Linked DNA regions of Xenopus tropicalis. Each later gene encodes a partner of the first gene's protein in a complex. Links are inferred from orthologs where the notes say so. Each region holds a gene or a part of one and is shown in the gene's direction. Other genes may lie near its edges.

Region 1 (4,190 bases):
AACTCCCTGTTCGCGGGCGACTAATCTCCCCGAGTTGCCTTCCCCTGCCATCCCATCGGCGACAATGTAAGTCGCCGGTGGGATGGCAGATGCGGCGGGGCGATTTCGGGAAATCGCCGAAAAAGACTCGCGAGAGATCTTTAACTGTAAACTGGACGGATACTGATGTGAACAATACACATTTTTGTACAAATATGTCAGCATTATATATTAGAAAAAAATATATTACTTAATTAAAACATGCATACCCAAATTTACCTATACAGGTATAGGATCCCTTATCCGGAAACCTGTTATCCATAAAGCTCCGAATTACGGAAAGCCCATCTCCCATAGACTCCATTTTAATCAAATAATTTAGAATTTTAAAACTGATTTCCTTTTTCTCTGTAGTAATAAAACAGTACCTTATAATTGATCCCAACTAAGATATAAATAATCCTTTTTGGATGTAAAACAATGCTATTGGGTTTAATTAATGTTTTATTGATTTTTTAGTAGACTTAGGGGCAGATTTAGCAAAATGTGAGTTTAGAGCTTAATCCACAAAAATTCACCCATGTTCTATTCATTCCTATGGGATTTTTAGAAGTGTATTTATCAATCAGTGAATTTACCCATTGGTAAATACGCTTCTTCAAATCCCATAGGAATGAATAGAACATGTGTGAGTTTTTGTGTATTAAGCTCTAAACTCACATTTTAACAAATCTGCCCCTTAAGGTATGGAGATCCAAATTACATAAAGACCCCTTATCCGGAATACCATTGGTCCTGAGCATTCTGGATAACGGGTCCTATACCTGTACTAAGCAACAATGAAAAAAAAAAAAAGGATAATTTAGGCCACGCCCCAGACCCGCAGCAAGTTACACCCCCAATCTACACAAATATAAATCTATCCTATTTTTTTTTAACCCCCAGATCCATTTGCACCCTACTTTTATGTCACCACTATTCCACAAAATCGGAACAATTTTTGCATATACAAAACGCACCCACGTGAAAAAGTACCACCGAATTTAACATTGCACCAGTACAGCATTTATTTATATTTATGTAATATTAAGCTTGCAAATCATTCAGAACCGCTGGCCCACCCTACTAAGCGCAGACAATATAAAAGAAAAATTTGTAGAAAATCCATTTTTGGGGTTAAATCACGACAACGGGGAAGAAGTAGCAGCCCTAGTCTATGTCGATATTTAAATTGTAAAGATTAAAACAAATCGAATTTCCGAGAAAATCTGCTTAATGATATACACTGGAATGGTTATTCTATCGGTTTACATCCACACTCCCCCCATAACTACATTTCAGGTAGCACGCACTGTAAGAAGTAGGCCAGGCCTTATTTATTCCTTCCTCTCCGAGACCCTCCCTGTCCTCTCCTCCTCCATCATGGCGATGCATAACAAGGCCACGCCGCCCCAGATCCCGGATACGCGCCGAGAACTGGCCGAACTAGTAAAGAGGAAACAAGAATTAGCAGTAAGTTAAAAAACCTCATCCACTAGCGTATTCTTTGTACCTAGTATTTTCTAAAAAAACATAATATATTTTCGGTTTAATGTAGGCCTCCCAGTTTTAAACCAAACACCGTAGGAAAATAGCGCAGCCCCTATGCACAAGCCTTTGTGTCCGTAACGTATATTTCGTAATCTGTATTTGTGAATAGCTGTATGGTTACGCTTTGTACGTAATTCCACAGTCGTTTTTGGTGCTGCGCCTTTAGCGTAACCATCACCGTTACGGAAATGAGTTAATTTACGTTGGTTACTTAGCAGGTTTTCTTTACTTTCTTTGCGTTATCGGCGTGTTTTACAATAATCTTTTTCTCGAAATGGTGTGATTTTTAACCGTATTATTTCAGTTAATGTGTTGCCATGGTGGAACGTATTTTGTTTAATCCTGCGCAGCCGCTATTTGGTGGCATTGCTGGCGGGAAAAATAAATATTGCAGACGTCCTTAGTGATGTAGCTTGAAACCAAACTGAAAGCCGTGTTTTAATAGGTTTAAATAGTGTATGCTGGTTTTGCTGTTACATTTCACGAAACCCATTTGCTTCCTTTACCTATGTCAGGTTTATGAAGCTCGTAGAATAGCGTCCAAGTCTGGGCCTAGCTTTTGGTTCAGTCTTAGTTGTGACGTCACGAGTTTTTATTTACAAAAAGGGGCCATAGCGACCTATCGGGATTTCCTAGTTTCTATCTTAAATAGACAGATCAAAAGATTAGCTGCATGGTTGCTACGAATTACCGCACTGATGCAAAATCCCACTGTTAAAGGTATACGTTTATAACCATTGGGGTGAAGACACACGGAGCAGCTACTTGAATGACTACTGAAAAAGACAATGCTAATCATTTGCTGATAATTGTCACTATATGTGTTTTAGCAGAGGCAGTTCTCAGTATTGTCTATGGCTAGGTATTTTCTGGAGTTTGGTAGCCTTGAAAAAGTAGCTGCTACTAGTAGCTCAGTGTGTCTTCATCCTTATGGCAGTGACAGACGGCGACTAATCTCCCCGCAATGCCATCCCACCGGCTAGAATGTAAATCACCGGCGGGATGGCATATGCGGCAGTGCGATTTGCCGAAGTTTCATCTCATGGCGACTTCGGCAAATTGTGGTGCCACGGCGACTGATCTCCCCATGTGTCACTGCCCATAAGTTGCAACAATGAGGAAAAAGGGATTTCTTAGATGGTTTTATTGTTGAATACATGGGTTGCCATCGGTGCTTATGGGGCCCCCACAGACTTGCCTGTTTATGCTTCTGGTCCACCCTAACTATATAACTTAAACATGGAACACCACTACTTTCATATCAGTTCAGCCCTAGCTTGGATGGGGCAACTCTGACAGGAATTGAATTGAGGGCACGGTTTCAGAAAATGTTTATTGGTTGTGTAAGTGTTTTATTGTCATATTCAAAGAAACTATCAGCAACAGTTCCAAGCTCTTTAATAAAATGTCTATGACTGCATTCATGGCACTAAAATATCTCATCTGTGAGGCACCCAATATATTCATCTGTGTATGACCTGGTAGGGGTTTGCAGATTACTTTGGGTGTCAAAGCTTCTTGATTGGCATGTGACCTAATATTAAAACAGCAGTTGATTTATTTTTTGAAAGGCAAACTTTTTTTTGCGCTTACATGTTATACATAAACATTAGACAATCCGTTGTATTTAACAAAAGTAAAAAAATAAATATAGCTAGTACTGATCATTATGCATACATGTGCTTACCAGCAGCCTGCCTTTGAGCAACCTCCCCTGGTTTTTCAATGGCCGATCCACTTAAAAAGTAATGAAAACATTGTAGAGATTAAAGTTCCTTCTCTTTCAGAAAATTTCAATATGATAGTAATGCTTGCGCCATTAAGTGTCCCCTAGCCCTGCGCATGCACATTATGCTATGTGGTGTGAGATAAAGACAATATAGAAGGGGAATGTGATGCACATGAATGTAAGATGATGGCTGCAAGCTCTTCTCTTGAGGGAAATAACTTGACAGCAGTGGCAATGGAGGAATAATAAGTATGTTTTGATTTGGCAGAACAGGAGAATGGCGAGTTTTGTTTCAATAGGTTTTGTTCTCCTTTAAGGTCTGTGACAGACAGGGAGTTTAGTCATCGGGCGACTAAACTCCCCAAACTGCCATCCCACTGGTGAGAATGTAAATTGCCGGTGGGATGGCATACGCGGCGATTTGCCGAAGTCGCGGAAGTTGCCTTGACTTCCTCGACTTTGGCAAATCACTGCGCCACATATGCTATCTCACCGGTGGGATGGCATTTCAGGGAGCATAGTTGCCCATAACAAGGGAGATTTGTCGCAGGCGACTAATCTCCCCATCTGTCTGAGCCCTAAGGGTGAAGACACATGGAGCTACTAGTAGCAGCTACTTGTTGTGGCTACTAAAATAGACAATGCTGGAATAACCATAATTGCTCTGCAATGAGACTATTAACCCTCAAAAGTGTGCCAGAACTAGGGACCAAAGCAGGACAAAAAGCAGTTGACTTTAGCTTTTATGATGTCTGTGATTACTCGGTTTATGGTTTACTACCCAACACAGTTTGACAAGTAGCAAACGAAACAGCAGCTCTGTAAGCAGATGTTCCTTGGATTATTCATCAGTTTTATGGTTTTCAGGCGCCTTCCCCTGGACTTGCACAGT
Region 2 (4,036 bases), on another chromosome or scaffold:
GGCATATATGTATATTTGCAAACAATGCTATCTACAGACTCTGCCAAAAAAGCAAAGGTTAAAAAATGACCAAGGATGAAATACTTGGTTAGATTAAATAAGAAATAACTTCTGGATAAAGAATGTCTTCAACATAGGAAGATGAATACTTCCTTTATAACTCCATAGCTGTCAGAATAATGGGTCTGGATAGCTGCTGGGCTCCTACACACGGGCATTTCACAGTGTTTTCCTGCAGCGCATTACACCGAAAATGCAGGGCGAATCACCTGTGTGTAAAAGCCCAAAGCTGGTTCTCCTCTTGGTACAAACCAACAAGACTTTGGTGGGCATGTGGCTGCCACCTGTATTTCTATGGGCTATGGTGAAAATTTTGGCGAAACTGCTACAAAAGCAGATACAGTAGCACCCCAATTTTTGGCACCCTGGAGAATGTAAAATTGTGGTTTGACTGTATTTGTTGTTACGGGGGCTTGAAGTGGACAACCCTCCATGTATGAAGACCCAGTGTCAGACTGGCCCACCAGGATACCAGGAAAACTCCCCGTGGGCCCTCCTGATCATTTGGCCTGTTTCATGTTCATTCCCTATTTCAGTATGGGAAGAAAGAGGAGAAATAAATGGAAGAATATATGCTAGCATGTTAATAAAAGGGACTAGGAGAATAAAGAGGCTGGGTGAGGAAAAGAGAAAAAAATAGTTTGGAAAGCGGGCCTGGGGTCTAAGGTTTTCTGGTGGGCCCCTGGTATCTCAGTCCAACACTGGGTTTAGGGTTCCCAGTCTGACACTGATGAGAGCCAATTGAAGTCATAAGCCCATATGCATGGAAGGCTGAAATCAAACAATGTAGCTGATAGCAGTCCTGACTGGACAGAAGAGTTCACTTGTGCTACACTGTTTCATGATTTACAACAGGGACAGGCAGTGCTATTAATTGCAATAACGTTTGCCAATAACTTTAATGTCTGTTTATTATAAAGTTGCTTAGAAAGACATTTTCTTTTTATTCACATATTAGTGGTTTATTTCCCTTGTGAAGCTGTTGGTGTTGTTACACATCCCAGCAGGGCGCCAGGTGGAGGGACCCTTCAAGCACCGGGGTCCTGTCACAGAGGCGCGGGCACGAGAAGCGGCTGTGCGCGCCCCCGCTTTTCTCTGCGGGCCCGGAGAGCGCGCAAACGCGCGATGCACTCTGGGAATGGCTGCGCAGCTCGGGTTGGCTGGGGGAGCAGACAGCGGAGTTTTAATGTCCGCCATGTTGGCCATGGCGTATTGAAGAGGGAGGGAGAGACTGGCCCACAGGAGCACACAGACTCCCACCAAACCACCCCCCAAACTGAGCCACGGGCACCGGGAGTGCCAGGATAAGCGCCCTGTCTAATATTAATCATTATTATCGGAACAACAAGGCTGGCGGGGAGGCAGCGAGGGGGGGCGCGGAGAGAGCTCCATGAGAGCGCGGCACGGGAGATTTTCCCCGCTCGTCGGTCGCATGGCTCGCTGCTAGACACACCATGAGTAAATTATCGTTCCGGGCGCGGGCGCTGGACGCGTCCAAACCGTTACCCGTCTTCCGCTGCGAGGATTTACCGGACTTGCACGAGTATGCCTCCATCAACCGGGCCGTGCCGCAGATGCCGACGGGCATGGAGAAGGAAGAGGAGTCGGTAATGCACCGTTTTTCACTTTCTCTTTACCGCTTTTACCCCTCTCCGCCCGGTCCCAGCTCTGCGCAAGCTTACACAAAATGGCCGCCATTTTCCTCCCTGACGGGAACGGGGATGGCGCACATACCTCTCCCCCTGTCATTCCATCCTCGGGGGTGGCTCGTGAGGCTAAAGCGGATCTCCCTGTGGGGATATATGTCCCCGGTGTGTCCGCCGGTGATACCTGGGAAGAATTTAGCGGCCGGGAAGGCACAAAGGGGTCACGTGATGGGGCCGCGGTCCGCCATTTTGTTGTGTGTGTTTCTCTCCCTGTCTTTTGGGGTTGGGCCTGGTTGTTGAGCGGGGTTGCAGCTCCAAGTGCGGTCGCTGGGGGGAGCTGGCGATCAGGAGTTGCTCACCTTGTGGGATTGTTTGTGTACGTTGGGAGCTGATTGACAGCTGAGAGCCGGCATGCTGTAGTAGTTTCTCTGCTGTCTTTGTGGAGTTGTATAGAAACACGCCATTGCTTGAAACTATCTCTTATGTATCGGCCATGTCATATATATGTGTGTGTGTGTGTGTGTATATAATAAATCAGCTTTTTAAGCGTAAACTTAGTTCATGGCACACGTTTTATTCATTGTAGTAGTTCATTCTGATGCCTCCCAGGGGGGTACAATCCCTCCATAATGCACAAATAAACCACTTTGCTGACTTGAGCTTGTGCTGTGGGGAATATAGTCAGTAATATGATCTACTAAAGGTTCTCTGATTAAAGCTATACTGTTAGATGTATATATTTAATGGGGTGTAACACAGGGTTTGGCCAGTGCATTGCTGTCTATTTAGGATTAACCATTGGCTGGAATGGTCTCTCCAACACATACAGGCAGCTTAGCTGACTCCTAATAAAATGTGGCACTAGTGTATATAAATGTTGTAGGAACCTTAGATTGTAAGCTCTGCTGGTGCAGGGACTGATGTGAGGCAGAAATGATGCCTGTAAAGCGCCATGTAATGTAGTTGCATTTTGACAGATTTTCTCCATAATGCAGCCCTGGGTTAATCATCAGTTTTGCATTTTAAAGAAATGTTTTGTTTGGGACCCAGTGTGAAGCTGCTGTGAGGGCTGGGGATTGGCCTCGCTGTAGATAATATATGTAAGTGTAGTATGTTGACATTTTGCTTTTAAGTGAGAGTAGAATTGGCTTTTTCCTTCTGACCTTTGTTGGACTTCTGTAGGAGACAGTTGATGTTTCTGACTGCATGGAGTATATCTGATTGGTAAGCAATGGTAGTACCCCAAGTTGGGTTGCACGTGCCAGCAGTCTGTCAGTGTATGTTATCATCTGCATTCTTGGGGCTTCTGCACCCCAGCTTCCATAACATATTCACATGACTGTATCTGTGTGTGAGCTGGGGCCGTACAGCCTGTCATTGCTGCACCTGTCTGGCGTGAGTGGGGCCATAAGCACTGGGGCACTACTCATCAGTTAATACAAACCTGCTGTTTGTACAGAGTATTCAGTATCGGCCTGACCCAAAACATACCAGAATCAAAAACTACACACGCCTGGCCTCTCAAAAATAAGTAACCTGGTGCTAAAAAAAGTATAGGGAACCCCTACTAAATGGCCATGCAAGGAACACTGCAGCACATGAAGCAACCTTTTGGGGGTGGGCCTCTTCGTCAGGTTCTACTTTGCTGTAAGAACGAAGACGTGTGGCAACTAATCCATGCAGTGCAAATCGGCGCATGATTAGTTGCAGCGTCCTGTATAGTATCCTATGGTGCCGCCACCGCCTTTTTAAAAAGTCACCGCATTTAATCGATCCACATGTCTTCGCCCTAAGGGCTCTGGCACACGGGGAGATTAGTCGCCCGCGACAAATCTCCCTGTGTCGCGATTTGTCATGACATGTATCGCGGGCGACTAATCTCCCCGTGTGCCAGAGCCCTAAAGTGTAGAACAGCAAAGCTCAGGCTAATGGCACAAAGGCCCTTTTCTCAGAACTGCCCCATGGAAGTAAACCTTATCAGGATGGCACATTGTTGTGTAGGTGATTAATTTAAGGTCACATTATCAGTTTCAGACCATGACAGATAAATTAAATCCAAATTTTACTTAGTGTTGGATTAGAGATGGGCTGATGCATTTTTGAAAGAACTTAATGATGCTATAAGTGATTAAAGGAATGTTGTCATGGGAAAATGTATTTTTTTATTTTCCAAAACACATCAGTCAATAGAGCTTCTCCAGCAGAATCCTGCATTGGAATTTGTTTTATTAAAGTTCAAACAGATTTTTTATATTAAGTTTTGAAATTTCAGATGGGGCTAGGCATATTCATTTCTCAGGGAGCCACAGCCATGTGACCTGTCCTTATAT
Region 3 (3,500 bases), on another chromosome or scaffold:
AAGAGTCGGTGAAAACTGGGAATGATTCTGTTTTGGAAGAACTTGGTAAGCCCAAACTGTGGGATCCGTTATCTGGAAATCTGTTATCCAGAAAGTTCCATATTACAAGAAAGCCACCTCCCATAGAGTCCATTTTGAGCAAATAATTCTAATTTTTAAAAATGATTTACTTTTTTCCTCTATTCAGGTTTTGGAACTGGGACCTGGGGTTTTCTGGATAAGGGGGATCCTTATGTAATTTGGATCTCTATATCTTAAGTCTACTTAAAATTAATTTAAATAGTACATATACACAAAAGGATTGTTTTGCATCCAGTAAGGATTCATTGGGATCAAGTACAAGGTACTGTTTTATTATTACAGAGAAAAGGGAATCATTTAACCATTAAATAAACCCAATAGGGCTGTTCTGCCCCCAATAAGGGGTAATTATATCTTAGTTGGGATCAAGTACAGGTACTGTTTTATTATTACAGAGAAAAGGGAATCATTTAACCATTAAATAAACCCAATAGGGCTGTTCTGCCCCCAATAAGGGGTAATTATATCTTAGTTGGGATCAAGTACAGGTACTGTTTTATTATTACAGAGAAAAGGGAATCATTTAACCATTAAATAAACCCAATAGGGCTGTTCTGCCCCAATAAGGGGTAATTATATCTTAGTTGGGATCAAGTACAGGTACTGTTTTATTATTACAGAGAAAAGGGAATCATTTAACCATTAAATAAACCCAATAGGGCTGTTCTGCCCCCAATAAGGGGTAATTATATCTTAGTTGGGATCAAGTACAGGTACTGTTTTATTATTACAGAGAAAAGGGAATCATTTAACCATTAAATAAACCCAATAGGGCTGTTCTGCCCCAATAAGGGGTAATTATATCTTAGTTGGGATCAAGTACAGGTACTGTTTTATTATTACAGAGAAAAAGGAAATCGGTTTTAAAAATTAGAATTATTTACATAAAATTGACTCTCTGGGAGATGGCCTTCCAATAATTTGGAACTTTCTGGATAACAGATTTCCGGATAACTGATCCCACAGCTGTAATAATAAAACAGTAGTTGTACTTGATGGTAACTACACTGGATGAATTTATATTGGAGGCAAAACAATCCTATTGAGTTTATTTTTGTTATTTTGTTTATTCTTGTTATGTTTAAATCATTTTTATTAGGCTTAAGGTACAGTGATCCAATGGATTGATTCCTTACCTAGAAAACCCTAGGTCCCCCGCATTCTGGATAATAGATCCCATACCTGTTCCGTGCTTATCATGTTACCATTGTATCTCTTTAGTGCTTCCCCCTTGGTTATGATTTCCCTTGTAATTGGCAACACAGTTTCAGATCTTTGGATAACACTGAGGTGCTACACCATGCTTTTACATTCATTACCTGGATAATTATTACAGCATGCCAGATCTCCTAGCCAAATGTATTTAATCAAAGCCAACATAATCACCCATATTTAATCCTGTCAGCAGCTGTGCGTCCTTTTGTTGCATTAACAGAAAGACCAAAAGCACAAAACTTCCAATGATGAAGTCTTTTTTTCATCTTTTACTCTTTTACCAATATATACAAAGTGTATATTCAGGCATTTCATATAATTGTCATACATGTCAATTTCATGTGATAAAAATAGGGTTACCACAAGGCCAGTATTTGACAAGCCCAGCAGTGTAATTGCTGATAAATTTGTAATACCTTCTTTCCTGACCGTCTCTACTGACAGGTTACCCCTTATAAAGCCAGTCCCGCTTATACTCTGCCCATTTTCCAACCCTATATAAAAATGTTGCCTGTGAAGATTACACTGAACAGTGTTTGTTGCGTGTTGCCTTTATTTTTAGAGAGGTATAATTGATTGATAGATAAGTAATAGCATGTGAAGGACTGGAAAGCTAATATTATACAACTTAAAGAAATAGACTGGCACACGGACCTGTTCATCCATAGGGTCATTCTCTCACATACAAAGAACCACGCTCCCTAAATGTTGTGTGCAATCTGTAGCCACAATAAGCACAGGGGATCACCCCGCAGATGAGTAAATCCCTGTTCCGGTCCGTTTTTTTTGAGTTAGATTACAGGTGGGTGCTAAATCCTCTCCTCAGTATGGATTGAGGTTGAGTGTGCCTGTAGGACAGGGATGGCTTTGCGATCGACCGATGACCAGGCATACGTACACATTCACGCAGCACTTCCGCATCCCCGGCTTCATCGCGGTCCACCAGAAATCCACTGGGGAACGACTGGTGGACCGCAGTCGACGTATTTGCAACCCCTGCTGTAGGACAATGTGTTAATATTATACAACTTACATTGATCACCTTGTTCTTGCCTTCTCTTCCTTCTTAATTCTCTTCTTACTGTTGCACCTATCCTTTCTGTATTTGATGTGCTGCCATTAGTCCACCTTACACAGTACTAAGGCTTTTTATTTAGATATTTGTAAGTTATATGTTTTTTTAAATTACATTTTTACATTTATGTTAGCATTTGTGAAATTGTGTTGGTTTTCTTTTTAATAACTGGTGAACGCTGATGGTTTTTATCTATTTATTCTTCATTCATTTAGGCTTGTCCACATCCTTCCCTATCGATGGAACATTTTTCAGCAGCTGGTTGGCCCAGTCTGTTCAGATCAGTACCGAGAATATGAAAATGAGTCAGTGGTCTTTAAACCACGGTCGCCATGAAACCAACACTTCGGGGCTTCTTTCTGAAGAGCTGCTGCAAGACGAGGAGACCCTGTTGAGTTTCATGATGGATAATTCACTGAAGTCTTCTTTCAAACAGACTGAAACTCTAAGGAAACTGAAAACCAAAACGAGAATGAATGGTAAAAAAAAAATGCCAAGAAGCAGCCCAAGTAACATTTTTAAGTGTCATAAAGATGATTTAATGGAGTGGAACAACATAAAGTGTTCGCCAGATCAGACTGAGAAGCCAAGTAACCAGAATTCAAAATCCAGCAGAAACGGTAAAGGAATTGCCAAGGTGCAAGTGGACCGCAAAGGACCTAGCGACAGAAAGGCTTCTAAAAAGGGACCGACCCATTCCCCTGCTCCAAAAGCCAATGGCTCCGACACATGTCCTTTAACCAATGGAGAGAAGACAATTAAATGTGCTCAACCCAAGTCTGATTCTCTAGTCAAAGTGCCTGCCTCACTGGGTTGTCCGAAATCAGTGGTGAGGTTTAAATTACCAAAGGGGATAGAAACGAGATTGGAATCAAAAATGGAGGCCTCTGAAGCTGCAAATAGACCTAATGTCACTAAAATGCCCAAGCTTAACTGCCATTTGGATGAGACTGATGGCTACTATTCAGATGCAGAAATGACCGACTCAGAAGAGGAATCCAGGGAAGGAAGAGTGCAGCTAAACCAGTTTGAGTCCTCAAACGATGACATTGTTAGAATGAGCATTTTGGCATCATAACTTTCCAGAGAATTTCATAGGACTGTCATTTATAAATTCTGCCTGCTTCTA
Region 4 (4,189 bases), on another chromosome or scaffold:
TGCTGCTCCAACCCGGCCCAAGGAAAGTCTCCCATAGGGCTCAATGGCACTCTGCAGCTCCAACCTGGCCCAAGGAATGTCTCCCGTAGGGCTCAATGGCACTCTGCAGCTCCAACCTGGCCCAAGGAAAGTCTCCCGTAGGGCTCAATGGCACTCTGCAGCTCCAACCTGGCCCAAGGAAAGTCTCCCGTAGGGCTCAATGGCACTCTGCAGTTCCAACCTGGCCCAAGGAAAGTCTCCCATAGGGCTCAATGGCACTCTGCGGCTCCAACCCAGCCCAAGGAAAGTCTCCCATAGGGCTCAATGGCACTCTGCAGCTCCAACCCGGCCCAAGGAAAGTCTCCCATAGGGCTCAATGACACTCTGCAGCTCCAACCTGGCCCAAGGAAAGTCACGATACTGAAGCTTGAATGAATCCGAAACTTTCGTCGGCTACAAAAAAGTTGCGACAATTTACTAAAAAAATCGCAAAATACCGATCATTACGGAAAAAACGCATTCGGACCCTTTTCGGACGTTCGTGGATTAGTAATTGTGCCCCTATATGTTCTGGTTTTCCTCTATAGTTACGCCACTGCTGCAGTCCCGGACTGCCAGGAGGAATAGGAGGTCCTGTAAGATATTGACTAATAAACAGCTGCAATATAGATTTATAAAAATTGTCTTATTTGTAAATTTTAAGGGGGGGGGGCTAAAATAAATTTAATGTCAGACCCATTAGCTTTTAGTTATGCCACTGTTTGCTGGCCTCTGTGGGTGACCTCTGTGCTTATACCTGCCCTGCAGGAGTGTGCAAGAGTTATTAGTGTAAATTGACACTTTATGAGGAAAAAAGACCAGAATCCATAGATAGAACAGAGAAAATTTCACTTTGCTTTATACTTATTAGTAACTAGAGCGCAAATTAACGGAATTAACAGCGCCCGGCTAGCTCAGTCGGTAGAGCATGAGACTCTTAATCTCAGGGTCGTGGGTTCGAGCCCCACGTTGGGCGTAACGTTTTCATTCGGTAAATTTTGCCTTATGTATTTCCAGACACTAAGTAAACGTTAATGCGTGAGATTTTGCGCCGTTGTATGAAAAAATACTTTCTGGAATATGTAAACTAAGCATTCAGCCTCGAGTAACATTAAAATCGATATAGAAATAGATACCTGAGGTACCTACCTAGCATTTAGTCTTGAACAGTAAATGTTATTTATTAACATTCCATCTTATTTCCACTGTAGCAGAAATGCGAAGATGCTTGTTTTGTTTGTGAGGGTGGGGGAGGTTGCGCCACTAAAGCCGAACTACATTTCCCATAGTGCCCCGGGAGGGCTAGTGGCTATTGCGCATGCTCGCCACATTGGGCATATCCCTGCGCGCATGCGCAGGCGGCGTGCGGTGACGTGCGGGTCCGCGCGGTGAGTAGATGCGGCGGATCCGTTCCCGGGAGCCGCGGAGTTTATAAATGGCGCCGAAGCAGGACCCAAGGCCTAAGTTCCAAGAGGGTAAGCATAAGCCATTGTACGTGGCTTCCACCATTACACCGTAGTCTTCACTCACCCCTTTGCTCTAAGTGAACGCCGAGCGGTAGACCAGACGGCAGAGCGCTGTGCCCCAATAATGCGCGCAGTTAATGGGCTGAAAGATATCGCATCTGCGGCTCTTGGATTTGTTCGGCTGCAACTGGCAATACAAGCTCTTACGAATGTCTGAGAGTTGCAGTCAAACAAATCCGCCCCTCGCCTTTACTGCGTTAAAGGGGTGACATACATCGTTCAGTTCTCTAGCCTGAGGACCGCCGTGGTTAGCTGTATGGGGGAAGCTGGGAAATGTAGTTCGAGTGGGGAAGTCGCAGCAGAGTGTGTTCCGTGTAAAATCTCGCATTTTCCTTATGGGGGAGGGGGCGTGGCATTGTCTGCAGGCGCAGCAAGCGGGAAATCTTTGTTGTGCGCCGTGCCTCAGTGCGGCAGTAGCTCAGATGGGCAGTCGCAGGTTGGTTACCCCGTTTTTATAGCGCGACAGTAGCTCAGACGCTTGGTTACCTCTTCGCCATTGTGGGAGTGACGGGACCATGACTTCATAAGAATGCCTTGCTTGTATAGGGAGCAGCTGGACGGGGATAGGCTTGCCTACGGCTTCTTGTGCCTGACACATGCAGAAATACAGTGTTTAGCTTGACCAGTTGTAATGGGGGTGTTGGTTTATATTGACCTGATCTGTGTTTAGTGCAGGGATGGAAAATGTGGCCTTCCAGCTGCTCTCTCTACAAACCTGCACCCAAACAAAAGTCTTGTTGCTTTGGCACCTTCCTTACTCTTAGGGCTCTGGCACACGGGGAGATTAGTCGCCCGCGACAAATCTCCCTTGTCTCGGGCGACTAATCTCCCCGAGTTGCCATGACCCGCCATCCCACCGGCAAACATGTAAGTCACCGGTGGGATGGCAGGGGAAGGCAACTCGGGGAGATTAGTCGCCCGCGAACAGGGAGTTTTGTCGCGGGCGACTAATCTCCCTGTGTGGCAGAGCCCTTAATGGGCAAGGTTAGGTCCACTAACTTTACACCATTCCTATATCACTTTGCTGTCACAAAGGTCCTATCTTGGTAGAGTGAAGAGCAGGCTTGCTTCTAAATCTCTCACCAGCATGTGTTCTAGTACTGCATCAAAATGTGAGGAATCTGATTTCTTGTTCTGTCATTCCAGAATAGTCCACCATAGTCCTGCCTTACAGCATCTTTGTCCTCTTTAGCCCTTTCTTCATTTTCTGTTGCTGCTGTAGTTGGATCTCTCTGCATCTGTGGATCTCAGCACTGTTGGCCAAAGACATTAATGAAGAAACATTGGGACTGTACTGTCACTGAATCATATCCCTATTAGTGAAATTTGGAGTTGTCAATTTGCTCTTCTAGTTACACTTGACAGTCTAGCCTGAAGTCCAGTCTTTGTGAGATTTGGGATAAAAACTTATTTCCTGACCTAGTAGTATGTGGAACAGTCTCTTTCAGATATCTTTAGTCATGTTATGAGGTTAGGTTTGGTGGCCATGGGTGGTGGAGTCTAGAACTAATAAAGCCAGACAACCACTGGTATAGAGAATGTCTCATCTAGAGAATGAGCTCTTTCTGCTGCCAATCAACAGCTTAAATTAATTGACACTGTTGGTGTATGTATAGCTGCCTTTTTAACATATCAGAAACCTAATGGAGTTGCCCTTACTATGATATGCTTTTTTAGAGGAAAGGCTTATGCAGTTAAGTCAAAATGCTCCTCTCCATCTGTCACAACTCCTAATGGTCTGTCACTTTTTGCATGGAGGTTCACACGCTCAGAGGTCCTCTTTGTGTGTGAACAGGGGCCCTTGCTATTAAATACCAGTGGTGACACTGGTGTTTTAACTACTGCTGTTCTGCACCAGAGGACTTTGCTGTCAACACACCTCAGCATATTTTTTTTTTTTTTTAGTGTGTAAGCCAACATCTCTGGTGATCTTTTGTTTTCTAACTTGTAAGTAACTGTCAAATTCTAAATACTGATTGGTTGCTATGGGCACCATCACTAGTGATGTTGGCTTACACACTGTAATAAATATGCCCCCTGATTTACCACTAACCTTGTGGCCATGGTTTACCAGCCACAGTTGTTGAACTGTAACACCACACACCATTTTTACTACTTAGTGTGTGTGTAAATATGATTGATACCATTTGTTATAGGAGGCTTGTGCTTACCCTGCCAGTGAGACAGTGGCTGCTTGTGCAAGATTTGGAAAAGCCATAGGGGGAAAGAAGTTGCTCTTTGTACTTTTAGCCAGAGGAAGGCAGAAAGGATTCATGGCAGCTTCTGTATATATTCTGTATATTCTAGTATCCACTTTACCTTCTGTTGCAATTGCTGTTTTCCCAGTTGTCACCGGAAGAATTTTACTGTGAGTAAATTAAAAGATCCTGTGCTTAGACTTACTAACATACGGATCTCTGTGTAGCAAGTTTGTATATTGGCTATACCAGTGCTGCTTAAACTTTTAGTCTTGCATATGCTCTAAAGCTTGCCTACTCATGGGCATCCTAAATGGCTTGTGTTTGGGCAGGTTCCAGATTGTGCAGTATGACCGTATGTGAATGGGGAATTTAGTATTTGTCTAATCTAAGGTGGTAAAGAACCACACCCCAGGACCCGTCAGTGTATATCTTTGCCCAATCTGG
Region 5 (3,500 bases), about 21 Mb from region 1:
AGGACAGTAAATTTTCTAAGAAGGGAGCTGGGAAGAGAGGACGGGAGAAACAGAAGATAAAAAGAGAGCAGAAGGAGACTGTGTGTGGAAGAGTTTCTGCGCCAGTGATGACTGTTATGCAGATTCCTTCATGTCGGTGAGCACAGTTTTAATCTTCCTTAACATTTCTTAACCTTTGTAAAGAGTAGTGCAGAATTAAGGGTCAGCAAATTATTGTTGTGTAATTAATATTGAATATTAAAAGAATATGTAACAGTAATTTAAGCAAGAAAAACATATGTCCATAAGGTCAGCCTATTTAAAACTCATCTAACTGCTAGCTGATCCACAGGAAAGGGAAAAGCATAAATAATAATTTCAGGGACTGCTCGATTTGCCTTTCTGGAATTAGGAAGTTATTATTTTCCCCTCAGAGGCAAATTGGTGATGGCTTAAAGAATAAGTAAACCTTTTTTTTTCCTATCAGTAAAATTACTCTAAACAGCCTCCAGAATTACCTACCTTTGTCCCAGCATTCTCTCTGACCTGGTTCCTCAGTTAGAAGTTGATCGTTTTTCTTTGCTTCCTTGTGCAGAGTGAAGCCCGCCCCCACTTCCTGTTTAGGTCTCTCATCAAAAAAAAAAACCCTGCTAATGCACAGATTGGCTCCTGCTGCCTCCAGGCATGCCCAGAAGGCTCTCTAGGTCGACTACAGGTAGTCAAATTGAAGAAAGAACTGAACAGGAAGTGGGGGTGGGGCTTCACTCTGCACAAGGAAGCAAAGAAAAACGATCAACTTCTGAGGAACCAGGTCAGAGAGAATGCTGGGACAAAGGTAGGTAATTCTGGAGGCTGTTTAGCGTAATTTTACTGATAGAAAAAAAAAAAAGGTTTACTTATTCTTTAAGCCATCACCAATTTGCCTCTGAGGGGAAAATAATAACTTCCTAATTCCAGAAAGGCAAATCGAGCAGTCCCTGAAATTATTATTTTTTTTTTCACTTGGGAAATGGCATCTGTCTGTCCATGCCCCATCTGTCTAGCTGCTGTGACTGCTTATTTTTGTGTGAGCTTTAAATACTATCAGTACTGAGACTAACTGGCCCCTGCATTATTCACAACTCCGATTCAGGCTGTAAAACCCTGTATTGCTACACCTGGTAAGACCCTGCATTGTTCACACCTGTAAAACCTTGGACTAATAATACTGTAGGCCCCCACACTGTTCACATGTTCACACCATGACAGATTTCAGGAGCAGTGTCACTGTATGTACTGCAGTGCAAACTGTTCTTAGAGTAGTCATAATCAGTTACTTACATAGGTACATGATCAGTTACTTGATAGGTTTCCCTGTCTCTTTCCCTGCCCTTTCCTACCTGTGTGTGCCATGCTCTGCCTGGCTTACCCTATTTGTGTGTGCCATATTCTGCCTGTCCTAGCCTGTGTGCACTACACTCCCTGTGTGTGCCATAATTCTGCCTGTCCTATGCTGCCTGTGTGTGCCATATCCTGCCTGTGTGTGCCATATCCTGCCTGTGTGTGCCATATCCTGCCTGTGTGTGCCATACTCTGCCTGCTCTGTGTTGCCTGAGGGAAGTGAACCTTGCAGGGGTATGTTCTGGGATTTTTTTTTTTAGTATTTTAATTAGATAGTCTAATGGCGCATATTGTATAAATATATATTCATGAAAAGTTTTAATTTGTAACAAAAGGTGTTTAAAATATCATTTGTTTTTACAGAGACCTGTAATGTGTATGTAGTATAGTTTCCCTTTAGCATGTGTGGTGGTGTTTGGTATAAAAGTTAAAAACCGAAAAACATTCATTCAGTTATTTCATTCATCAAGCACTAATTTGCTGCTTGTTCATACTGAAGTAAAAACACATTTAGGCTAAGGCATTTTGGAGAAAACAACACTACTGCCCAGAAAAAGCCTTGATTGCTGTAAAGTGACTTAAAGAAATACTGACACACAAAATTAAACCTGTTTTATGTCTATCTTAACAGTGCATTTCCATGTTATTTATAATTTTGCCTTAAATGTATTTGCCCATTGCTTTTACATTACCTCTCTGATTCCCCATGGTCTTCTATTTTTGGGCTACCATATTTGTGCAGCATTAGTCCGTTAGCATTAGAAGCTGTAATGGGCAGGTTGAGAAAGGACTGACTGGCAAAACTTTCAGGTTTAGGAACTTCAAATAACAATTGCAGCTGCCTGTTGCTATGTGCACAGGAGTTTTTTGTTCCTGAATTTTGTCTGTAGGAACAATGATTTAAATCAATTGCTTGCACTTTTTGCTGATGGAAGAGAATACAGTCATGGCCAAAATTGTTGGCATCCCAGAAATTTTTTGCTATAAACATGTTTATTCCCTTTGTGTGTATTGGAACAGAACAAAAAAGGGAGGAAAAAAAGCAAATTGGACATAATGTCACACAAAACTCCAGAAATGGGCTATTAGCATATTAAAAACAGGAGTCGGAGTCGTGGAGCCGGAGTAAATAAAACAAAATAAGTAACACAACAGCGTTATTAGTGGTTAAAATACCTGATCCAATAGTCACGTTTTTGGGGGGGGAAAAAAAGACAGTGGTAAAAAGTAAAAAAAAAAAAAAGTGTTTGTGTATACATATCTAAAAGTTGTGTCTATAAGAGTGCAAAAGGTTGCAAAATGAAAAAAGCAAAAAAAAAACCAAACAAACCCCAAAAACCTGCTAATGTGTGTGTAAATGTATGTAAGTGTGTATATTAGTGCAAATAAATACCACTTACCTGTTCCTGTACCTTAGCTGGATGGATGCAGGGATTACATGGGGGGTCCTGGAGGGTTGTCTTAGCAGAGTGCTACACAGCAGGAAGTGAATGGGGGGGGCAGGCAGAAGCTGCAGATGCGATCGCATATGCTGCTTGAAGGTTGCAATTGCACCCCAAGACTGACATTACAGCCCCCCAGCCTCCTGACTTTCTGCAGAGCATGTATGCTCTACATGCTTGCATGTAGAGCCTTTTTCTACCACCATGTGAAAGGGTTAAAATAAACTTACAATAAACTCTGGTTTGTAAAATTTGCACTGCTTAGTTGTCTAATTCTATGGATTTCTGCATTGTCATTGGTCAGATAGGTATGCAGGTCTTTACGCAGCATGGTGTAGGTAAATCAATTAGGTTTACTTGCAAGTTGACCGTATAACCAAGCTTGGCACCTGTGGATTCCACTGGTATCTAGTCAGCCTGCACATCAGTACTTTAGACCGACCCCACGCGTAAGCAAAAAGGAAGAGGCTTATCTCCTGCCAGGAGAAAATGCTGCAAAGTTTGGACAAGCCTTATTTATGGGTACTTTAATAACCCACTCAGCTTAAACAAGTTGTCTGCAGACACAGCATATGGTGTTTAAATGCTTAAGCGAAATCATTGTGGGGAAGAAGGTTATTCATTGCAGTTTGGGTCTCTACTGCTCATGTGGTATGCTAATGAAATAGAGAATGTCCAAAGAAAAGCAACTAAGCTAAT
Region 6 (4,104 bases), on another chromosome or scaffold:
CATACCATGGCAATTGGTCGTTTAGTTGGACAGGTTAGAAAATTTCTGTTGCATAACAACATTCTTTATATAGTCTTTTTTTATGTTTAGGAGTGGATAGGAATTAGGTGATCAACCCTATGCATGCAGCAGGACTTTTAACCTCATCAGTGCTTCTGCTTTAAAATGTTACCTTTACAAAGCCTTGCAATTAAATGCAATAACAGTTATACTAGAAAAGAAAAAACACTTAATTCTGTTTTGAGCCCTTTTTAGCATGTTTCTAAAGTCCGATTATAGATCTGCTCTGAAAAAGCTGAGCATTTCTTTAATATGTTGTTGTTTCAAATTCATTATATTCATTATACACTGGGTCCCACAAGAAAATGTTTTTTTAGGCATTAAAACTTTGAGGAAGATGTCAGTTTCTCACAGATAGAAATTATGCATTATCCAGAACCCTTGCCTGGCCTGTACATTTCTTGATTCCCAAGCAACCACTGGGTTATTGTTGTTATACCTCCGGGTCCTTGTGTCTTTGCCTGTTGCTACTAAGCAGCTTTCACTTACGTTTATATATACAACAATAAATAGAGTATATTGTCAGTCCATGAGCTGAGGTGACAGTAAAGCAGAGCATATTAGAACAATGCCCATTTGATCTTACCTGTTACTTCACTGCTTATCAGAAATTAATTTTATATATTTGTGTTAAAGTTACAGAAGTTAATCTTCTGCCTTAGCTATTGTGGTTCCAGATGATCAATAACGTAATTTATTTCCATTACATACAGCATAGGTCATTTCTCACTAGCCATTGCTTATACAACACACATCAAGGAAAAGAAACAAAGGCATTGGCATAACCAGAATTTACTGGGACCCACATCCCTTTAGAGTCCCCTTTGATGGGAATAAATGTTTCACACACATTCGCAACCAACCTCTGTATACTACACTGTTTTTACTATTACACACATGCGTAACTCCGTTTACGGAAGTGTTTTGGGCGGATCGCTATCACTGGAACGCATGGTGCGTGTCAAATCGAAAAAGGGGAAACAATTACCGCCTTTTTGCTATTGCTGCCCAGGCGAATGCCTGGTAATTAATACTATATTTATATTTGTCCAGTATGCTCCAGTTATTACAAAAAATATATTTCTTTAAAATTTCATAACCTGTTCCAAATCAAGGACAAAGGTGAGTTTTAGAGGCTCGTAAAAATGCTATGCTTATTCCGGCGCGACTTCTTTGCCCTTCGATACGGTTGTCAAGGAAGGGGGAGGCGGCTGCGAGGCTGGAAAGAAGGAAGTCGCTTTAAAGCAAAATCATGGCGGAGGTAAGATTTATTGTTTAGCTCTTATCGCTATGTATGCGCAATTGTAGGTGATATTTCCACAGAATATAGTTACATGCAAAGCGTAGGATACGAAAAGGGGCTGGAATTTTGCGTTATCCATTTCTTTTATGTCAAGAGAACCTCTCTGTATTATGAGGCCATAGAAACATTTAATCATATTGACCAAACATTGGCTGTCGCTTCTTGCATGGCCGTATATCAGCTGCTGTGAATGCAAATTCCAATTGCTTGTAAGGTTCCCCATTTATATTCCCCATTAATGACCATGTTATGTCAGGATTTCCTCAGACAAATTACTGCATCTTGAGCCATATTACATTTGGTTTTCTATATTTGTTTTTCAGCTGATCTGTCTAGGATTTATTTCCTCATTATTACTCCTTTTAGATGTGCTGTTAGTTATTGTATCTCACACATTGACACCTTTTATGTTGTACTTTATTATTTAAAGGGGACATAAACTGTCAGGAACAAGTATTTGCCACTACATTATACAGCCATTAAAATAATACACTGTTAAGTTGCCCGTTTCTCATTTATCCGTGACTGATTTTCAGGCAGAGATTGTGGAGGGTTGCCGATTGCCTGTACTTCGCAAGAATCAAGATAATGAAGTTGAATGGCGTAAGTACTACATAGCTTGAAACGCACTGTAATAAATATTGCAGAAATATAGCTTGTACAGGTATAGGACCCATTATCCAGAATGCTCGGGACCAAGGGTATTTCGGATAAGGGGTTTTTCCATAATTTGGTTCTTCATACCGTAAGAAAAAAATCACAAAAACATTCATTAAACCCAATAGGACTGTTTTGCCGCCAATAAGGATTAATTATATCTTAGTACAGATCAAATATAAGGTACTGTTTTATTATTACAGAGAAATAGGAAATCAATTTTAAAATTCTACATTATTTGATTAAAACAGAATCTATGGGAGATGGGCTTTCCGTAATTCGGAGCTTTCTGGATAACTGGTTTCCGGAAAATGGATCCCATACCTGTACTTGTTTATGTTTACAAGAGTGTAGAATTCTGTGTGTTTTTTATTTATATGGTGAATTTTCATTCAGATGGTTTGTGAAGAAGCAAAGAAATAAAATGTAATTCATAATAAAATATACCGTTTTTGTAACCACTTCTTTTGTCTCTGTTTAATCCTCTCTAGCACTTGCTGAAATTCTGAGCATCAAGGAACTTACAGGGAAGAAACTATTCTATGTGCATTATATAGACTGTAAGTTTATATTTAAATATGGAGTTTAATGTTTCACTTAGTATTACATATATCCTGCATATTACATATAGTAATATGCAGGATACATGGCTTAAATAATGATATGTACTGAAACTAGGCTTGAGCTGCTTAAAGGGGAGCAATCATGAAAAATGTTTTTAGAATATTGAAAATATAAAATCTAGACAAACATTTTGACAATGTATAGCATTTAGAAATGTTGCACTGTTACAAAGTTATGGCTAATTATTGAAGCAGCCTCCCATTCGCCACCCTCCAGAATCTCTGTGTGAGTGACAGAGCATAGTGAAAGCTGATTTGCTGTGGCATGTCATGAGGCTCAACAGCAAACATGTGCAAAGGGGAAGTAAAGGAATTGAGCCGGGCTGGGCTAGGGGCTGATGAAGCTGCATTTGTACATATAACAGCAAAGCAGCTTATTGTTTATATCCTTTATATCCTCATATACACAGCACTTCTGACTCTTTTGCATTCAAGATTGTGCTGCTCACCAGCAGGCTTAGATCAGCTGCCAGTTGCCCTCTTGCAATTTACACATGCAGAAACAAATTTTTATTCAATACAGGTGTGACAGTTGTGACAAAAGAGTGTATAAAAGACACTCCCTCCATACCAGTGACATACCTATTGCAGCAATATTTCAGACCTCTGCACAGGCAACTGTGTATGTACAGGCACACAGATTCCTGTATGTTGGATTCACAGACACCTATGTCGTCAGAGCCCTTCTGTAGACTTTCTTTCAGGCTTCTTGATTGGCCAGCCAAATCAGGCCCACTTTGTCAGTCTGTAGCATTTACTCTGCTATAGCTAGTCCATGTCTTTTTTTAGAAAATGCCATATATTCTGTTATCAATTAGCTTGCATATTATAATGTAGGGATGCACCGAATCCAGGATTTGGTTCGGGATTCAGCCTTTTTCGGCAAGATTCAGATTTGGCGAATCCACAGTCCTGGTGGAACCAAATCTGAATCCTAAAATTCATGTGACTTTTTGTCACGTAAACACAGAAGTTAAAATTTTTTAACCTCTTCTAATTCTTATTGCTAGCATTTTTTTCTCTTGTAAAATTATTTCAGTCTCTTTTTTTTACTTTTTTACTCTATTAATCCCCCCAGTTAACAAGCGATTAGATGAGTGGGTTACTCATGATCGTTTGGATCTTAAGAAGATTCAATTTCCAAAGAAAGAGGCAAAAACTCCAACAAAGAATGGACTACCTGGATCAAGACCAAGCTCCCCTGAGAGAGAGGTGGTAAGTGCTTGGGCACTCAAAGAAACTGGTCATGTCAATCTGTCTTGCAGGGATGATGTTGACCATAACAGTTATCCCTGCACCTTACTACTAAAATAAGTGCAACAGAAAGTAGCAGGTAGTATTGCTTTAGCAGAACTAATGCCACTCTGCTCCTTTGGGCTTTGGGAGATATCAGTTTCTTCCTGTGCCCTCTTTAAAACAAAGATACCTGCATGTTCCTCCCTCTTCTCCAAGTCATCCAGT
Region 7 (3,500 bases), on another chromosome or scaffold:
CAAAGCCACAAATGGGCAGAAATAAGGTGCGGGGGGGGGGGGGGGGAGAAAGAGGTGAAACTGCTCAGTATTGGATTATATGTTCCTATTAACATTTCTTTAGGTGGATGGAAAGGTGAGCACCATCTACTGCCAAAACCTCTGCCTTCTGGCCAAGCTCTTCCTCGACCACAAGACCCTCTATTATGACGTGGAGCCCTTTCTCTTCTATGTGCTGACCCAGAATGACTCGAAAGGCTGCCATCTTGTTGGATATTTCTCCAAGGTGAGGGAAAGGGGCTGTTTGCTGTGCACCTGTGTTTTTCTCACTAAGGAAGAACGTCCCCTGATTCAGCTTCTTCCCAAAGTAGGTTACGCGTAGTTCCAGCTACCTTCAAAGCCAGATGGCAAGCAAATGGATGAATAATGAGGAGCCCTGATACGATAGTGCTGTGGCAGTGTTCTTAAAGGGACCCCCTCACTTTAATTTTTCAAATTTTTTTTTTTTTTTTTTTTATGTTAATAGTTGATTGTATTCATATATGTTTAAAGGGGTGGTTCACCTTCAGATTAACTTTTATTATGTTATAAAATGGACAGTTCTTATCAACTTTTCAACTGTTCTTTATTTTTTAGTTAAATTATTTGCCACCTTCTAACCATTTTCAGCTTTCAAATTCCCAATGGCCCATAACATATAGCAACAGAGATAACACCCTGTTAAAATCCATGGAAAATGGCATTGTTGCAAAAGCTCTAGATAAGAAAATCAGCCTTCCCAGCACTCTTATCTCTCTCATCTAGATAATCAGCAATGCCCGGGAGATGGCTGCTTCAATAGGCTCCTTCGATTCTGGTTGTTTGGTGACCCTAGCATTTAGTAGCAAAGGTTCCACGTGCCAGGTTTCTGCGCTGCTAAGGAATGCAGGGTGGCGTGTCAGTGCCAGCAGTCGGAGATGACCCTGCTCTAATTGTACGGCAGATTCCAAGTCTATAGAATGACATGCCAGAAGCTCTACATCAGAGGCTTCCACGGGGTTCTAATGACTTGGTGAATGCAGAAAGCTGTGTCCTAGAGAATATGAAAGGCTTTAGGGCTCTTTAGTCAGGCTTCAGAATTCTAAATAAGGCTGGTTCCCAGGAGTTCTCTCTTTGTGGCTATAGCAGCATGAAGCTCATCTTTCATCCTTATAATCAGCAGTGAGCTGCAAGCTTCAGAGGGTTCGTGCCAGTGCTGATGACACCGGCCTGTAATCACCCGTCTGAAATCCCAGCGTAAAAATGTCTCTCATCTCCCACCCAAAAGTGACATTTTGTGGACTAATAGGGAATTTTGTTGCAATGCCTACATTCTGCACCCCATACGCAGCTGTGTTGCATGCAAGCAGTGGTCCATTACAGATCCATACAAGTCCATTACAAACTCCATGGATATACACTTAATTACAAATGCAGATTATTGTGCTCATGGTAAGTCGTAATGCAAGCAAGGGCTGGCCAATAGGCAAATGCAAGGTTAAAGAGAAATTGTACAACTGTGATTGGCATAAAATCCTCAGACTGCGCCCTCTGGTGGCCAGACTTGCTTAAACGTGCAAGAATTAGGTCCATTTCTTAGAGGGCCACAGAGTGCTCTTCCTGTTTAAGGTTGCTAGGGCAACTACCTTGTTTAAAATCTTGGTTGCTGATGAAAAAAAATGGAAAAACTTGAAACCCACAGCACAATATGCAGATCAGTTGCAGAGTCTATTGTGATACATATATAAAGGTGAATATTGCCTTTAAGAATGAGCAGCTTCTGCTTCAGCACCCTACTATGAGAAACCCTCCTACCCCCCTCCTCCTATAAAATAAAGCCTTCCCCACTAACCCGTTTATCCGGTCCATAGAAGCCATGTATGTGATTCTTGTATAATACTGGGCCTGATCCACGCTCTGATGCATCTTTGTGTTTCCCTTCCATCCCCAGGAGAAGCACTGCCAGCAGAAGTACAACGTGTCCTGCATCATGATTCTTCCACAGTACCAGAGAAAAGGATACGGCCGCTTCCTTATAGACTTCAGTAAGTAAGGGGGGGGAGGGGACATACTTGTTAACACTATATGGGAGCTGTTTGCTTAGATGTATTCCACTGCTTTAGAAGCGCTTTATGCAAACGTTACTCTCCATATGTCCCCTTCATTGACATCCAGGACTGGTTTCATAGAGTGTCTAGAAGTGCAGACATTCTCTCCAAATATTACCTGGCTTTTAGGCTGGATCCCTATCCAAGGCACTGTGCCCCGCTGGGGGAGAGCCCAAGCTCCCTGCATTACTGAAGGCATCGGCTTCTTACTGATGTATGATCCAATGTATAGTAATGCACAACACCTTTGCTATTTCCTCCTAGGTTACCTACTTTCTAAACGAGAGGGGCAAGCAGGATCCCCAGAAAAGCCACTTTCCGATCTGGGTCGGCTCTCTTACATGGCGTACTGGAAAAGTGTGGTACTTGAGTGTTTACATCACAACCGAGAGCACCAGCTAAGCATCAAAAGGCTCACCAAGCTGACTGGTATCTGCCCCCAGGACATTGCGGCCACGTTGCACCAACTACGTATGCTGGAACTTCGTGGAGACCGGTGAGCTCCTGCTGCTGCTGTTATACTTATTTGGGGCTTCCTTGTTGCTTCTTTTTCTTTAAATTCACTGGGGAATGTAATCCCCCACCCCTTACCAATGCGTTATATGCTTATCTGTTTGTCCTCTTCTTCGTACAGCGTTGTGTTGGTTCGTCGGGAACAACAAATTCAGACACACATGAGTCGTTTGCAGGCCCGGCCGCGGGAAGTAGAGGTGGATCCAGAAGCTTTGAGATGGACACCTGTTATTGTCACCAACTCTGTGGTCTCGGATGAAGAGGAAGCGGAATCTGAAGAAGAAGAGGATGAGGAGGAGGAGGAGGATGAAGAACAAAGAAGTCCTCTGAAAGACAACAGTGTGAGTATGGCAGACTGTGTAACCATACTGCTAGCCTGCTCTTCTGTTCTTAGTCTTGTTCAGTCACTTACCTGCTATACATTGAATGATGTGATATGAACGAAATCACTGATTTAGGCTCTGAGCTGGGCCTTCCCTTGGTAGCCATAGTCTAGCTCGGGGATCCCCAAACTTTATACATGTGAGCCACATTTAAATGGAAAAAGTGTTTGGGAGCAACACAAGCATTAAAAATGTACCTGGGGGTGCCAATGAGCTATAATTGCCTACTTATTAGCCCCTGTGTGGACTAGCAGCCTACAGAAGGCTCTTTTTGACATTATATTTGGTTTTTATGCAACCAAAACTTACCAGAAGTTCAAAAATAAGTAGATGCTTTGAGGCCACGGGGAGCAACATCCAAGGGGTTGGGAAGCAACATGCTATTCATGAGCCACTGGTTGGGGATCACTGGTCTAGCTCATACTTATTTTAAATAAACATACTTACCTTACAGTTTAATGTTAATGGGGAGGGAAGTAAAGTTTTATGTGTACAAATC

Evidence for each region.
Region 2: meaf6 (region 1) and epc1 share a complex: the UniProt entries of both Homo sapiens proteins name them as parts of the nuA4 histone acetyltransferase complex. The link is inferred for Xenopus tropicalis from reciprocal best matches to the Homo sapiens genes MEAF6 and EPC1.
Region 3: meaf6 (region 1) and jade2 share a complex: the UniProt entries of both Homo sapiens proteins name them as parts of the HBO1 complex. The link is inferred for Xenopus tropicalis from reciprocal best matches to the Homo sapiens genes MEAF6 and JADE2.
Region 4: meaf6 (region 1) and morf4l1 share a complex: the UniProt entries of both Homo sapiens proteins name them as parts of the nuA4 histone acetyltransferase complex. The link is inferred for Xenopus tropicalis from reciprocal best matches to the Homo sapiens genes MEAF6 and MORF4L1.
Region 5: meaf6 (region 1) and brpf3 share a complex: the UniProt entries of both Homo sapiens proteins name them as parts of the MOZ/MORF complex. The link is inferred for Xenopus tropicalis from reciprocal best matches to the Homo sapiens genes MEAF6 and BRPF3.
Region 6: meaf6 (region 1) and kat5 share a complex: the UniProt entries of both Homo sapiens proteins name them as parts of the nuA4 histone acetyltransferase complex. The link is inferred for Xenopus tropicalis from reciprocal best matches to the Homo sapiens genes MEAF6 and KAT5.
Region 7: meaf6 (region 1) and kat6a share a complex: the UniProt entries of both Homo sapiens proteins name them as parts of the MOZ/MORF complex. The link is inferred for Xenopus tropicalis from reciprocal best matches to the Homo sapiens genes MEAF6 and KAT6A.

The regions. Positions count from the first base shown.
Region 1 is NC_030678.2:86,136,397-86,140,586, reverse strand, and holds the start of meaf6 (chromatin modification-related protein MEAF6), read left to right. Parts: upstream 1-1,390; 5' UTR 1,391-1,401; coding exon 1,402-1,491; intron 1,492-4,190.
Region 2 is NC_030682.2:22,921,577-22,925,612, forward strand, and holds the start of epc1 (enhancer of polycomb homolog 1), read left to right. Parts: upstream 1-1,236; 5' UTR 1,237-1,514; coding exon 1,515-1,667; intron 1,668-1,794; exon of another isoform or gene 1,795-2,719; intron 2,720-4,036. UniProt on the Homo sapiens protein: Component of the NuA4 histone acetyltransferase (HAT) complex, a multiprotein complex involved in transcriptional activation of select genes principally by acetylation of nucleosomal histones H4 and H2A.
Region 3 is NC_030679.2:26,303,134-26,306,633, reverse strand, and holds part of jade2 (protein Jade-2), read left to right. Parts: coding exon 1-45; intron 46-2,586; coding exon 2,587-3,449; 3' UTR 3,450-3,500. UniProt on the Homo sapiens protein: Scaffold subunit of some HBO1 complexes, which have a histone H4 acetyltransferase activity. Acts as an E3 ubiquitin-protein ligase mediating the ubiquitination and subsequent proteasomal degradation of target protein histone demethylase KDM1A.
Region 4 is NC_030679.2:118,095,689-118,099,877, reverse strand, and holds the start of morf4l1 (mortality factor 4-like protein 1), read left to right. Parts: upstream 1-1,389; 5' UTR 1,390-1,453; coding exon of another isoform or gene 1,454-1,493; intron 1,494-4,189. UniProt on the Homo sapiens protein: Component of the NuA4 histone acetyltransferase (HAT) complex which is involved in transcriptional activation of select genes principally by acetylation of nucleosomal histones H4 and H2A.
Region 5 is NC_030678.2:65,009,533-65,013,032, forward strand, and holds part of brpf3 (bromodomain and PHD finger-containing protein 3), read left to right. Parts: coding exon 1-136; intron 137-3,500. UniProt on the Homo sapiens protein: Scaffold subunit of various histone acetyltransferase (HAT) complexes, such as the MOZ/MORF and HBO1 complexes, which have a histone H3 acetyltransferase activity.
Region 6 is NC_030680.2:37,908,651-37,912,754, forward strand, and holds the start of kat5 (histone acetyltransferase KAT5), read left to right. Parts: upstream 1-1,304; 5' UTR 1,305-1,312; coding exon 1,313-1,321; intron 1,322-1,899; coding exon 1,900-1,966; intron 1,967-2,511; coding exon 2,512-2,580; intron 2,581-3,721; coding exon 3,722-3,858; intron 3,859-4,104. UniProt on the Homo sapiens protein: Catalytic subunit of the NuA4 histone acetyltransferase complex, a multiprotein complex involved in transcriptional activation of select genes principally by acetylation of nucleosomal histones H2A and H4.
Region 7 is NC_030679.2:130,478,552-130,482,051, reverse strand, and holds part of kat6a (histone acetyltransferase KAT6A), read left to right. Parts: intron 1-103; coding exon 104-265; intron 266-1,948; coding exon 1,949-2,042; intron 2,043-2,369; coding exon 2,370-2,601; intron 2,602-2,739; coding exon 2,740-2,959; intron 2,960-3,500. UniProt on the Homo sapiens protein: Histone acetyltransferase that acetylates lysine residues in histone H3 and histone H4 (in vitro). Component of the MOZ/MORF complex which has a histone H3 acetyltransferase activity. May act as a transcriptional coactivator for RUNX1 and RUNX2.